3 linked regions of the Xenopus tropicalis genome follow. The protein of the gene in region 2 purifies or fractionates together with the protein of the main gene of each other region. This does not show direct contact. Links are inferred from orthologs where the notes say so. Each region holds a gene or a part of one and is shown on either strand. Other genes may lie near its edges.

Region 1 (3,657 bases), on a different chromosome or scaffold from region 2:
CAAGCCTTGTGCAGGGAAGAGAAAAGGTCCCTGTGAGCCAGAGGGAGACTATCTTGGTTTCTTATGAATGTGAAAATCGTTGATGTTTGTGTATAAAAAAAAAAATATATATATATGTCAGTTTTACATAGTCTGAATGATCTCATATACAAATGGTTTCCCTGGCTGTCTCAAAATTTTTTGAGTCTCATAGGAGAAATGCCTTTCACAAAGCAAACTGTAACAGAACATTACTGAGTTAACAGAGCTATAAGCCTTAAAAGGTGCCTGTAATACCTGTTTCTTTTCCTCCTAAGCCCTGAAGTCGTACAAAACCTTCCAACTGAGCTCTGTGCTTGTTTACACTGAGAACACCCTGGAGAAGGCAGAAAGTGGTAGATATGAGTTCCATTGCAGCCTATATGTTCCCACATGGCCTGTAGTATTATTGGAGAACACCCACCTGTTGGTATCTGCCAGATTTAATTCCAGCCTCGAGAATTTCCAGTGGCAGGTGCTCCGGGTATTCTTTGCCGTTACCCTCCCGGCTCTCTAGCTCGCGCTCTCGATGGGTTTCTTTTAGAGATTTATACAGCTCCAGGGCTCCTTTTAAATTGGGCCAGAAAGTCTCCAGGTAAATCTGTATAAAATGCATTAAAGCACTTACCCTGCAGCACTTTATCATGCTAACTCTCCCGTATTCCTACAAATGTTCCTTTTTTTTTTTTTCATATCCATAAATTGATGAATCAAAATCATATTGTTAAATATTGCTGTCCATATAAGTGGCCCGCATATTTGATATCAAATATTTAAATAATAAATGTCATACAAAGAAATCTATAGAGCTTTTTTTTTAAAAAAAACAAAACAAAACCTTTTGGAGGACTGTACTTGGCTTCCAGGCCTTCAGTTAGACAGCACTGTTGTATATAATATTGTACTATAAAATGCATTATTTATCCAAGCGCAATTCTTTAGCTTGGGATGATTTTTCTATTCCTTGTGACATATACCCGACTATTATTATTTTATATAAAATGTTTTTATATATTATTTAAAGAGAGACAAATTTGCGGGGAAAGCTGTTAGAATTTTTATTTTGATAGCAAACATGTTCTCAGTTTGTCCCTTAGCACTTCTTCCTGCCTTTTGGATTAATACAAAATCCCTCACACTGACCTGGAATGAGACCACGTACACCTCTTGGGTCTCGGTGTTGTACTGCCTTATGACAGACTTATCTTCTGTGACCATCACAACAGGGATTTTCTTCTGACAGTGTTGATAGTACCATACACAAGAATTGTAGATGCACCTAAGTAATAGCATTAAAGAGGTTGTTCACCTTTAAATTAACTTTTAGTATGATGTAGATAGTGATATTCTGAGACAGTTTGTAACTGGTCTTCATCTTTTATTTTTTATGATTTTTCAGTTATTTAGTCTTTTGATCAGCAGCTCTCCAGTTAAGTACTTCAGTGGCTATCTGGTTACTAGGGTCTTATTTTCCCTAGCAACTAGACAGTGGTTTGAATAAGAGATTGAAATAAGCATAGAAGATAATCTGAAATAGAATAATAAGTTATAAAAGGTTATAATAACAATACAATTGTAGCCTCACAGAGCAATCGTTTTTGGCTGCTAGAGTTAGTGACCCCCATTTGGGCTGGAGGGGAAGAGGAAGGCAAATAATTAAAAAACTACAAAGAATAAATCATGAAGACCAATTGCAAGGACATTCAAACATCAACCATCCCATTAAGAATGGTGCAGTTAGGTCAGGCTTTGATTCTATAAGGTGGCAGCGTTACAGACAAACTGAAGTACCTTGTTTGCCAGGCCAAAGCAGATTCCCCCATTTCTCTAGGAAGATAGGCATGGTTCTGGAACTCATTGGAAAACAAAATGCAGTCATGACGAGTATCTCTGAGCAGAGAACACAACCTCTTGTATTGCCTGAAACACAGCACAATAAACCTAGCTTAGCCAAAAACAATAGGCCAGATAAAATTAAGATCTTAGAAAGAAAAAACAAACAAAACTGGAAGGAAAATAACCAACCACTACTTACATGGCCATTCATTCTGCAGCTTAATAATCACTTAATGGTTAATGTTTCCTAGAACATTATTTCTTAAGCAGGATGCTCATTACATGATAGTCACATCCTAACAAAATCATTACACAAATCACATTTGTTGGATAGATAAAGTGGACATTTATCATGCCTTTAGATAAAATCCAGTCTGAAGTATAACAACTTCTCCACACCTTACAGCAGGGGTCTCAAACTCGCGGCCCGCGGGCCATTTGCGGCCCTCGGTACAGTATTTTGTGGCCCGCACCAACGCCTTCTCAAAAGCAATGAATGGATTGCGATTCAAGGGATAATGCAAGGCACGGTGGGTGGGAGCTGCTGATTGCGGAAATGACGTTATTCCATCATAACAGTTATTATGGGAAGACATTCTGTGTGCACAATTAGCTGCTAAGGAGCTAATTGTGCACACAGAACGTCTTCCCATAATAACTGTTATGATGGCATAACGTCATTTCCACAATCGGCAGCTCCCGCCGTGCCTTGCATTATCCCTTGAAAGCCAATTTTTTGTGAAATCCCTTATGCGGCCCAGCCTCATCCTGACTTTGCCTCCTGCGGCCCCCAGGTAAATTGAGTTTGAGCCCCCTGCCTTACAGGCAGCATGCAGGAATTGTATAACCCACAATGCATTGCAGGATGTGTGGGGTTTTGAGGATGCAGGCTGAGGACAGTTGACTATTGTTGCAATTTTATTTGAGTCCCCAAGTAGTTAGCCAGATCATCAGGGGAACAGCAGGGCGAGGCTTAGGTAACTTTTCCAATCCATATTATTATTTTAAAAGTTATGAAAAGGCTGCATTCATTGATGTATATTGCTTAAGTTGCTTAAAATTATTTTTTCTTTTCAAAAAGCTTAAGTTGTGTTTGGGTGGAGTTCCCCTTTAAGAATAAAAATTATTAGGAAAACAGCAGGGTCATTTTTCTGAAAGACACAATTGCCACAGAGACACTAGTTGTCCTGACATTAGAATTTGCAGATGCAGCAAATTTTACAGCCAGAAGTGTGTATTGTGTTTGTGGCCCAAAACTGTCCATGTGTATAGCCTATTCAGTCGCTTCTGCTTAGCTCCCTTGCAGCACATAATGAAAACAGTTTGGCAGGAGCATTCCCAGCATTTTTGTGCCAATTATCTTAGTCCAGTGCTGCAACCCCCAGATGTAAGGCCACATCAAAATGCAACCAGTTTCTATAAATAAGGGGGCCCAGCCTTCTACAAACATGCCGTTATTTATTGTGCCATTGCACATAAGCAATGTTTCACACGCAATGGTACAATATACAGCAATCACAGCTTATCTGTAACATGTCCCTTTTAGGTTTATAGAGCCTGAGCAGCACATGACGATGTTTCTAATGCCAGCTAGATATTGCATGCCTTGTGGCCAACTAGCCAGACCACATTAATTGGCAAAGACAATCGCTGGCTACAGATGGCTTTACATGTGAGGTTTTTAGTAATGATAGAAAGCCAGTTCTTAGACAGGGACAATCCACATGAGTTTCCTAGTGTCCAGGTCTAGATGTGCCACATGTCTAGAGATGCCAGAGATATCTGCCAGGCAATGATGATTAG
Region 2 (3,757 bases):
CAGAGAATCCAATACAGTGTAAGCAATAACTGTGGTACAGTACAGAACTAGGAATATTACTAGAATGTTGCTTCTATAATACTCCAACCTATAATATTCCAGTCCCAGAACTGCTGATCAAAAGCACAGGCAATTTTATACAAATACTTATATATAGATATGTACAGGGCTGTGTATACAAGTAGCACTATACAAATATATACCTGGAAATATGTGTGTGCATTTTGGGAGTATGTATACAAACATATTCTTCCTATTTATATAGCTGAAACAATGTTGTCACCAGCTGGTTTATGGACAGACAATCAACCAACCTGTTATTTAAGGCTAAAGCATATAAATGTATATACTATATAAGCTGTAAATTCAAATGTAAATTTGACTCCTTACAAATCTAGTCAGCAATATCACATATTTTTACATAATTCTGAACTGTAACTATAACCCACGTTTATTATAGCATATAACTTTTAAAACACATCTCCCAATTCAAACAGTTCTTGTAGTTCCCATGTATATACGTCAGACAGGCATACTAGTATTTTAGATGCGATGTACCTTATGGTACAAGATGTGTATACTTCTCAGTATACAAGACCAGGGTCTCGCATTTAGAAATAAAACATTTAAACTCCCCTTCCATCTGATTATCGTCTGTTTCACTCACACCAACGCGACCCCTGTACTCCTCTCACCTGTCTCCCACCGGCGCCTCTCCACCCTCCTGCCACAGTCCGGACCCTTAGAAGTGCCCTCAGCGCCGCCATCTTGCTTCGGAATGCTATCCCACTGCCTACATTTCTCTTAGGACCCCTATTCAACAGCTTGTCAAAAATAACCTCTGAAGTGAGAAATTGCGAGAATTGCGTATTTCCTATTATTCCCTGGGAAAAAAGGCTTTGGCATTGTTGTGTATAATTATACAGGCAAGTGTGGCGGTTGCCAGACCCCAAGGACCCCGGAAGTGTTTGCACATGTGGAAAGAAGGTTCTGATGGAGGCTGTAGGTTCTGTATTGCGGGAATACGGGTGTGAGCAGAGTTTGCTGAGCCGTCCCGATGGATCCGCTACGTTTCTTCAGGGTTAGTTTTGGCGCGCCTATAATTCCTCAAATCTTATGTGGAATACGAGGATATCAAGGGATACATATTGAAGGGAAGCGTAAAATGTTTTGCGGCTAAATCATTGGATGGAAATTGAATTGTAAATCCAGTGGCCGTTATTCTCATTTAATGGAACAGCTCTTCCATGTTGTCATAATGCAGAGGACAGCAATGGGGAATGTATGTGTTGTATTTGTCTAAAGTAGGTGGTTGCTGAACTGCAAACTTGTAAATTAAGCAATTTTCCAATATAGGATAATAAAAAATGTTCATGATTTTAAAATTGATACAATTGTTACTGAGAAAAAAGTTTCAGCCTGTTTATTGCAACTCTCTCCTGGTTTCCCCAGCTACTCTTAAAGGAACAGTAACATCAAAAAATGAAAGTGTTTTAAAGTAATTAAAATATAATGTGCTGTTGCTCTGCAAAAAACTGGTGTTTTTGCTACAGAAAAGCTACAATATAAATAAGCTGCTGTGTAGCCACGGGGGCAGCCATTCAAGCTGGAAAAAAGGAGAAAAGGCACAGGTTACGTAGCCGATAACTAGTAGATAAGCCCCATATAATGGGGGTTTATCTGTTATCTGTTAAGTAACCTGTGCCTTTTCTCCTTTGAATGGCTGCCCCCATAGCTACACAGCAGCTAACTTATATAAACTATAGTAGTCTTTCTGAGGCAAACACACCAGTTGTAGCAATATAGGGCAACAGTACATTATATTGTAATTACTTTTATACACTTTCATTTTTTGGTGTTACTGTTCCTTTAACTACTCCAAATCTCACAATGCCTTGCTTGTTCTGCCATTATCAGCTGCAAAGTAAAATAAAAGAATAGTACAAGGCAAATTTGTAGGAACTGAGGTGGTGGTGAGGAGAGACATTTTTTATTTAATTATTTCTATAGTCTGGTAGCAAATAATAGCAAAGGCAGACAAACTGCTCTTGGAATTTTATTTAGAAATTACTTAAAAAAAAACATTTAACATGTTTAATTCCTGCATATTATAACACTGCTTAAAATTACAATTCATTTGTACAAATACATATATATTTATTTAGGAAAAGGTCCTTTAAAATATTGGACACCAAATTGAATTGGGGACAGACTGACCATACTCTTACTCTAGAGCTATAAACGGTCATGTACAGCACTGTGATTATGATACCTGTGTGTACGCATTTAAATAAACCAAAATATAGGGAATATACACCATATTAAAAAATATAAGGGTATTGGAAGTCTCCTTAGAGTGCCATGACCATATACAGGCACAGAACCAAAGGCCAAGTGGTTTAATACAGGTCATTGAACTCTGAGGTGGCTTCTAATATCCACATATTTTACAACAGAGGAGGTTTTAGTCAGTAAATTATACAAATTACATCACTGATCAATGTTGGTAAAGAAAATCTTGTGTATTATAGCTATAGGGGCTTGTAGTTTTGGGCTCCTAGGCTCTGCACCATATTCAATTTTAGAATAAAGATTAGAAATGAGTTTCAACAAAAAATGTGAGCTATCCTTACAAAGTAGCAATCCAGTACCATGTTTAGGTGGTTTATAGCATTTTGACCAGTTAATAATTTTTAATGCAGTATAATTTTTAATGCAGTTCTCCAGTCACACAAAAATAGATTAATTCGGAAAAAAGAAACTAAAGGGTGTAAGCACATTGACCTAGATATCAAGCAGGTATATCATGGTGGCTTAGAATTCACACCAAACTCTCTGCAACTCTGTTCTACCAAGCTGCATTGATCAAGACCTATCACTTTATCCACCTTGTGTACAGTTTTACTCACCACCTTTTTATACCTATCACCATTTGAAAACTCGAAAGAGGGACACAATTAACTGCCATGCTCCTCCCGCCATTTGAAAACTACAAAGAGGGACACAGTTAACTGCCATGGTATGACTGCACCCACATTTTACCACACCCAAAATACCATGATCATAAAATTAAAACTAAAACCAAAAAAAAAAATCCAGACATGCCAGTAAAATCACTGCATAAATAACCAGAGAAGCCTCCATTAACTAAAGACATGACCATAAGATCACTGCATAAAATGGGTAGATTGAATGCATTGCCTCACTTAAGTTGCACAAGCAGCAAATCACAAACTTGTTCTTTTCTAGTACCCCCATGGTGCTTGTCATTTTGCCTTTGCCTGAAAAGGCAATTTTTCCATTTCCACAGTGGAACTTACGGCCATCTGTGATTATGATTGGCTGTGTTTGAGCCCCTGCTGAGATTGCTTTAAAGAAGAAAGAAAGGTAAAAACTCATAATTCAGGTTCGTTTATATATCACACAGGCAGTAATCTGGCTACTGTAGTTTTATGTGACTAAAGCTGACATACATGCACCGATGCACCTAGTTTCATACGATATTCACTGTGTGTATGGTGGATCGACGAGGTGAACATCACAAAAGCTTCGGATATGTCGCCTCGTGGAACGGGCGGGACAGAAGACTTTTATACGAGCAAAATCTGTGTTTAGGGCTTAATTGTCAGGTGGAGGTAGAATCCTTATTGTTTCTACCTCCATATCTGACAATTCAACTCTGAATGCCAGTGGAGGGTGGGAACGATCTTTCCTGAGACAAATGGTTGCAGGAAAGATTGTAATTGTAAGGTGTATG
Region 3 (3,657 bases), on a different chromosome or scaffold from region 2:
GGCCCCTGGTTCCCACAGACCAAGGAAGATTAAAGGATTTAACGGTATCGCAAAATTGCCTTTGCTTTTCCGGACATCTGTGAGACACAGGGACTGTGGTGGTGCCTACTACACCCCACAGTTCTTGTGCCCCACAGGCTAATAATGAGAAAAGGATTTAATTGTAAGTATCGCATAATCCCCTCTTCTGCTTAAGCTTTAAACTTGTTTGCATTTGTAACATGCAACATAATTGCTTCTAACTTTTACTGGAAAATAGGGCTTCTCTCTTTTCCTCAGCTTATGTTGAGATTGATTGTTTACCAAAGTGACCTGCAAGGGCTAGTGCTATTTTCCCTGCCAAACAGAGTACTTGGTGAAGAACCGTACCTACTAGAGGGTGTAATAATCTGGGGAATGCAAAGCAACAATGTCCCGAGAGAAGCAGATTGTATCGTAAAACATGCTAAGTTGTTAAAGGTCCCCACCAAAGATGTATCATCTGTTACTTTTTTTTTTTTTTTTTTTTTTCTTCTGCCAGGGCTTGTGCAGTGGTAAATAATAAATAGTAAAAGGTTATTTCTAAAAGTGGTAGGGATGACCCAAAGTAAAGATCAAACGAAATTATACAGGGGGAGCTTTTCAATTTATCCTTTTTGCTCAGATACAGACATCTCCTCCCCACTGGTTGATTTTCCTATAGAAACAAGCAGCCTTTTGTGTGCTGGAGTCACAAGTGTGCTATGTTTTATTGTCTGTTTTATTATATAATGATCATCCTTATGATGTTCACTTTTCCAATGCTTTTGAAATTGTATGTTATAAATCCATGTTCTATACTCCTGGTGATATGCTAGAGCCCGCCAAGTAAAGGCAGTTAAAAAATAAATGTAATAAACTGACTTGTGTTTCCTCTGTTAAGGCATGATGAAGCAGTTGAGCTATGTATGCAGCTTCTGCAGTCTTCTATGGGTAACACTGACATATTGGAAGCTTTATGCACTGTGTACTTGAAGATGGCACAAGTTGAGAAAGCTATGGATGTTTGGATCACTGCATTCAAAAATAACAAACAGAATCCTAAGGTTTTCTACTATACCTGCAAGTTCCTAGTTTCACATGTAAGTACGTCAGATATAAAGTTAAAATATTTGGTAATGATTACTATATTCTATTTGCTGACATATGTAGCTCTTTATAGAGTGCTGAATAGTAATAGCAGTTAATGCCCTGGTTAGAATCAAGCACATAACAGCAGCATTGTGGCTGAAGTGCTAAACATATTGTTTGAAATATATAATTCATTTTGCAACTGATATTTTAAATGCATATGTATTACTTTTGCAGAATCACCTACAACATATGCCCTCCATCATGAAAGATTTTGTTTTGTCATTCTTTGATACCTTTGATGAGGAACATAACCCTACATACCTCCTGAGGTACATTATATATTCTCTTATACACAGTTCACTTGTGGCTCAGAGTGGACATATTACAGACCTCCCCAAATAATTTCTTGAAATGCAACTACCTCCAAATTTCTCTTTCTAATGAAATGTATATCTTGGATGTATAAGTTACCCGGTATTTAATATGACCTAAATGTGAATCTACAGTTATTTTGCCATTAGAGCACTAATGAGGTAAAGCATTAGTGGCAGTGGAAGGTTGCAGTTTGTAACCTATTGCACCATCTATACGGTGGCCTATTTGGATAAAGTTAAAAGACATCTGTTGGTTAAAAAAAAAAATAATAATGGTAATTTCATACAGAATTATTGCATGCTGTCCAGTTATCATTCAGACTGCTGTAGGCCATTAGAAATACAGATATATCTACTGCAAATAAAAGAAGGGACAAAAAGGGCAGTCTCCTAAAGCCCAGATTTTAAAAACAACCCAAAGACTGCCCTAAAATTTCTGAACATTCACTTTTCTTACTTTTGTGTTTCTCTCCTCAGGTACCTCCTAAATTTTTCACTTCCTCTAAATTTCAAAGCTCCAGTAGTAAAGGCATCTTTTAATGGTTCAGCACTGCAAATTCCATACATCTGGCTTGTATTTTGGTGAGTGGTTTTTCATTTATAATGTTAAGAATGTATGCTTGTTAACTGAGCATTGTTTCAATTGCTGGGCAAAATTACATTTAACATTCCTACAGTTTTAGCAGTGGATGGCATCCAGACATTCAGCCAAAACTGCCATATACAATAACAAGTTTAAACAAAAGCACAGGTTTTATCTAGTAGACATTTACTATTGAACACTTCTTATATACAGTTTATGGCAGTCTGTTCACTCGAGCACTGCAGAGACTATAGAGGCTTATGAGGCAGCACTGGGAGCTGTAATGCAACAGGAGGTGCTCCAGAATCTTTGGATGGAGTAAGTATTTCATATAGCTACCAATTTTTATAATAAAAGGCAAGTGTCTGTGTGCAAATATGCCATGAGATTTAATGGATATCTTTTCTTTTCAGTTATCTTATTTTTACTAACAGAAAAATTATGGAAGCCAAAAATAAGGTTCAAGAAGCTAAACATTTTTCGGATTTAGTTAACAGATGTCTGATGACTGTTCCTACAAGGCATCTCATTCCTTTTAGCACATCAGATTACTGGACCAGCTATGAGTTCCATAATTCGGTAAGAGGTGTAAAGAAATGTACTACATTGACTTTGCTTAAAGCCCAGTTACTTTTTGAAAGAAACAACAGAATTCTTACACTCAGCCTGTATTTTCTGGCTTCCCTAACAACTTTGGTAGGACCTTGATAAAGCAACGTGCAATGGGAATAATATGCACATTTCTTAGTTTTTATTTCCGATGTGTATGTAGAAAATCCATTTTTTTTTTTTTTTTTTTAAATAAGCTGTTTTTGCCTTTTCCGTTGGCAGTCATTGTATCTGAGCATGGGTCCTGTGGCATCTCAGGTTTAATCTGCTGTTGCACTTCAGATGTAAATGTGTCATTGGTATAAATTTGCTCGGGACCTGGGGTGTTCCGGATAAGGGGTCTTTCCGTAATTTGGATCTCCTACCATAAGTCTAATAAAAAAATAATTTAAAAAGTAATTAAATCCAATAGGATTGTTTGGGCTCCAATAAGGATTAATTATATCTTAGTTGGGATCAAGTACAAGTTACTGTTTTATTATTACAGAGAAAAAGGAAATCATTTATAAAAATTAGAATAATTTGCTTATAATGGAGTCTATGGGAGATGGCCTTTCCGTAATTTGGAACTTTCTGGATAATGGGTTTCCGGATAAAGGGTCCAATACCTGTATTACAGGTATGAGATCTGTTATCTGGAAACCTGTAATCTCCAAATTATTTCCAAATTACAGGAAGCTATATCCCATAGACTCCATTTAATTAACTTTGTCAGAATTTTAAAACCCATTCCCCTTTTCTGTAATAAAACAGTACATTTTACTTCATTCCAGCTAAGATGTAGTTTAGCCTTATTGGAGGTAAAACCATCCTATTGGTTTAAATGATCTTTTAGTAGACTTAAGATATTGAGATCCATATTACGGAGAGACCCCTTATCCAGAAAACATCAGGTCCTGGGTATTCTGGATAACAGGTCCCATACCTGTATTAGTTTGTCTGACATAATATGCACAGAATCCTTAGCTCTGTATTAATGTACTTTTCTGGTTGGGTGTG

Evidence for each region. Proteins that work in one complex are often made in the same cells at the same time.
Region 1: the proteins of exosc5 (region 2) and dis3l purify together in Homo sapiens (affinity purification with mass spectrometry; 5 studies listed by BioGRID and IntAct, with this or other methods). This does not show direct contact. The link is inferred for Xenopus tropicalis from reciprocal best matches to the Homo sapiens genes EXOSC5 and DIS3L.
Region 3: the proteins of exosc5 (region 2) and zfc3h1 purify together in Homo sapiens (affinity purification with mass spectrometry; 3 studies listed by BioGRID and IntAct, with this or other methods). This does not show direct contact. The link is inferred for Xenopus tropicalis from reciprocal best matches to the Homo sapiens genes EXOSC5 and ZFC3H1.

The regions. Positions count from the first base shown.
Region 1 is NC_030679.2:117,114,416-117,118,072, reverse strand, and holds part of dis3l (DIS3-like exonuclease 1), read right to left. Parts: intron 1,939-3,657; coding exon 1,810-1,938; intron 1,298-1,809; coding exon 1,162-1,297; intron 620-1,161; coding exon 443-619; intron 356-442; coding exon 277-355; intron 1-276. UniProt on the Homo sapiens protein: Catalytic component of the RNA exosome complex which has 3'->5' exoribonuclease activity and participates in a multitude of cellular RNA processing and degradation events.
Region 2 is NC_030684.2:79,502,214-79,505,970, reverse strand, and holds the start of exosc5 (exosome complex component RRP46), read left to right. Parts: upstream 1-963; 5' UTR 964-993; coding exon 994-1,081; intron 1,082-3,757. Other genes in the region: bckdha (2-oxoisovalerate dehydrogenase subunit alpha, mitochondrial), read right to left, coding at 696-767. UniProt on the Homo sapiens protein: Non-catalytic component of the RNA exosome complex which has 3'->5' exoribonuclease activity and participates in a multitude of cellular RNA processing and degradation events.
Region 3 is NC_030679.2:59,906,386-59,910,042, reverse strand, and holds part of zfc3h1 (zinc finger C3H1 domain-containing protein), read left to right. Parts: intron 1-901; coding exon 902-1,100; intron 1,101-1,326; coding exon 1,327-1,421; intron 1,422-1,943; coding exon 1,944-2,048; intron 2,049-2,262; coding exon 2,263-2,367; intron 2,368-2,462; coding exon 2,463-2,628; intron 2,629-3,657. UniProt on the Homo sapiens protein: Subunit of the trimeric poly(A) tail exosome targeting (PAXT) complex, a complex that directs a subset of long and polyadenylated poly(A) RNAs for exosomal degradation. The RNA exosome is fundamental for the degradation of RNA in eukaryotic nuclei.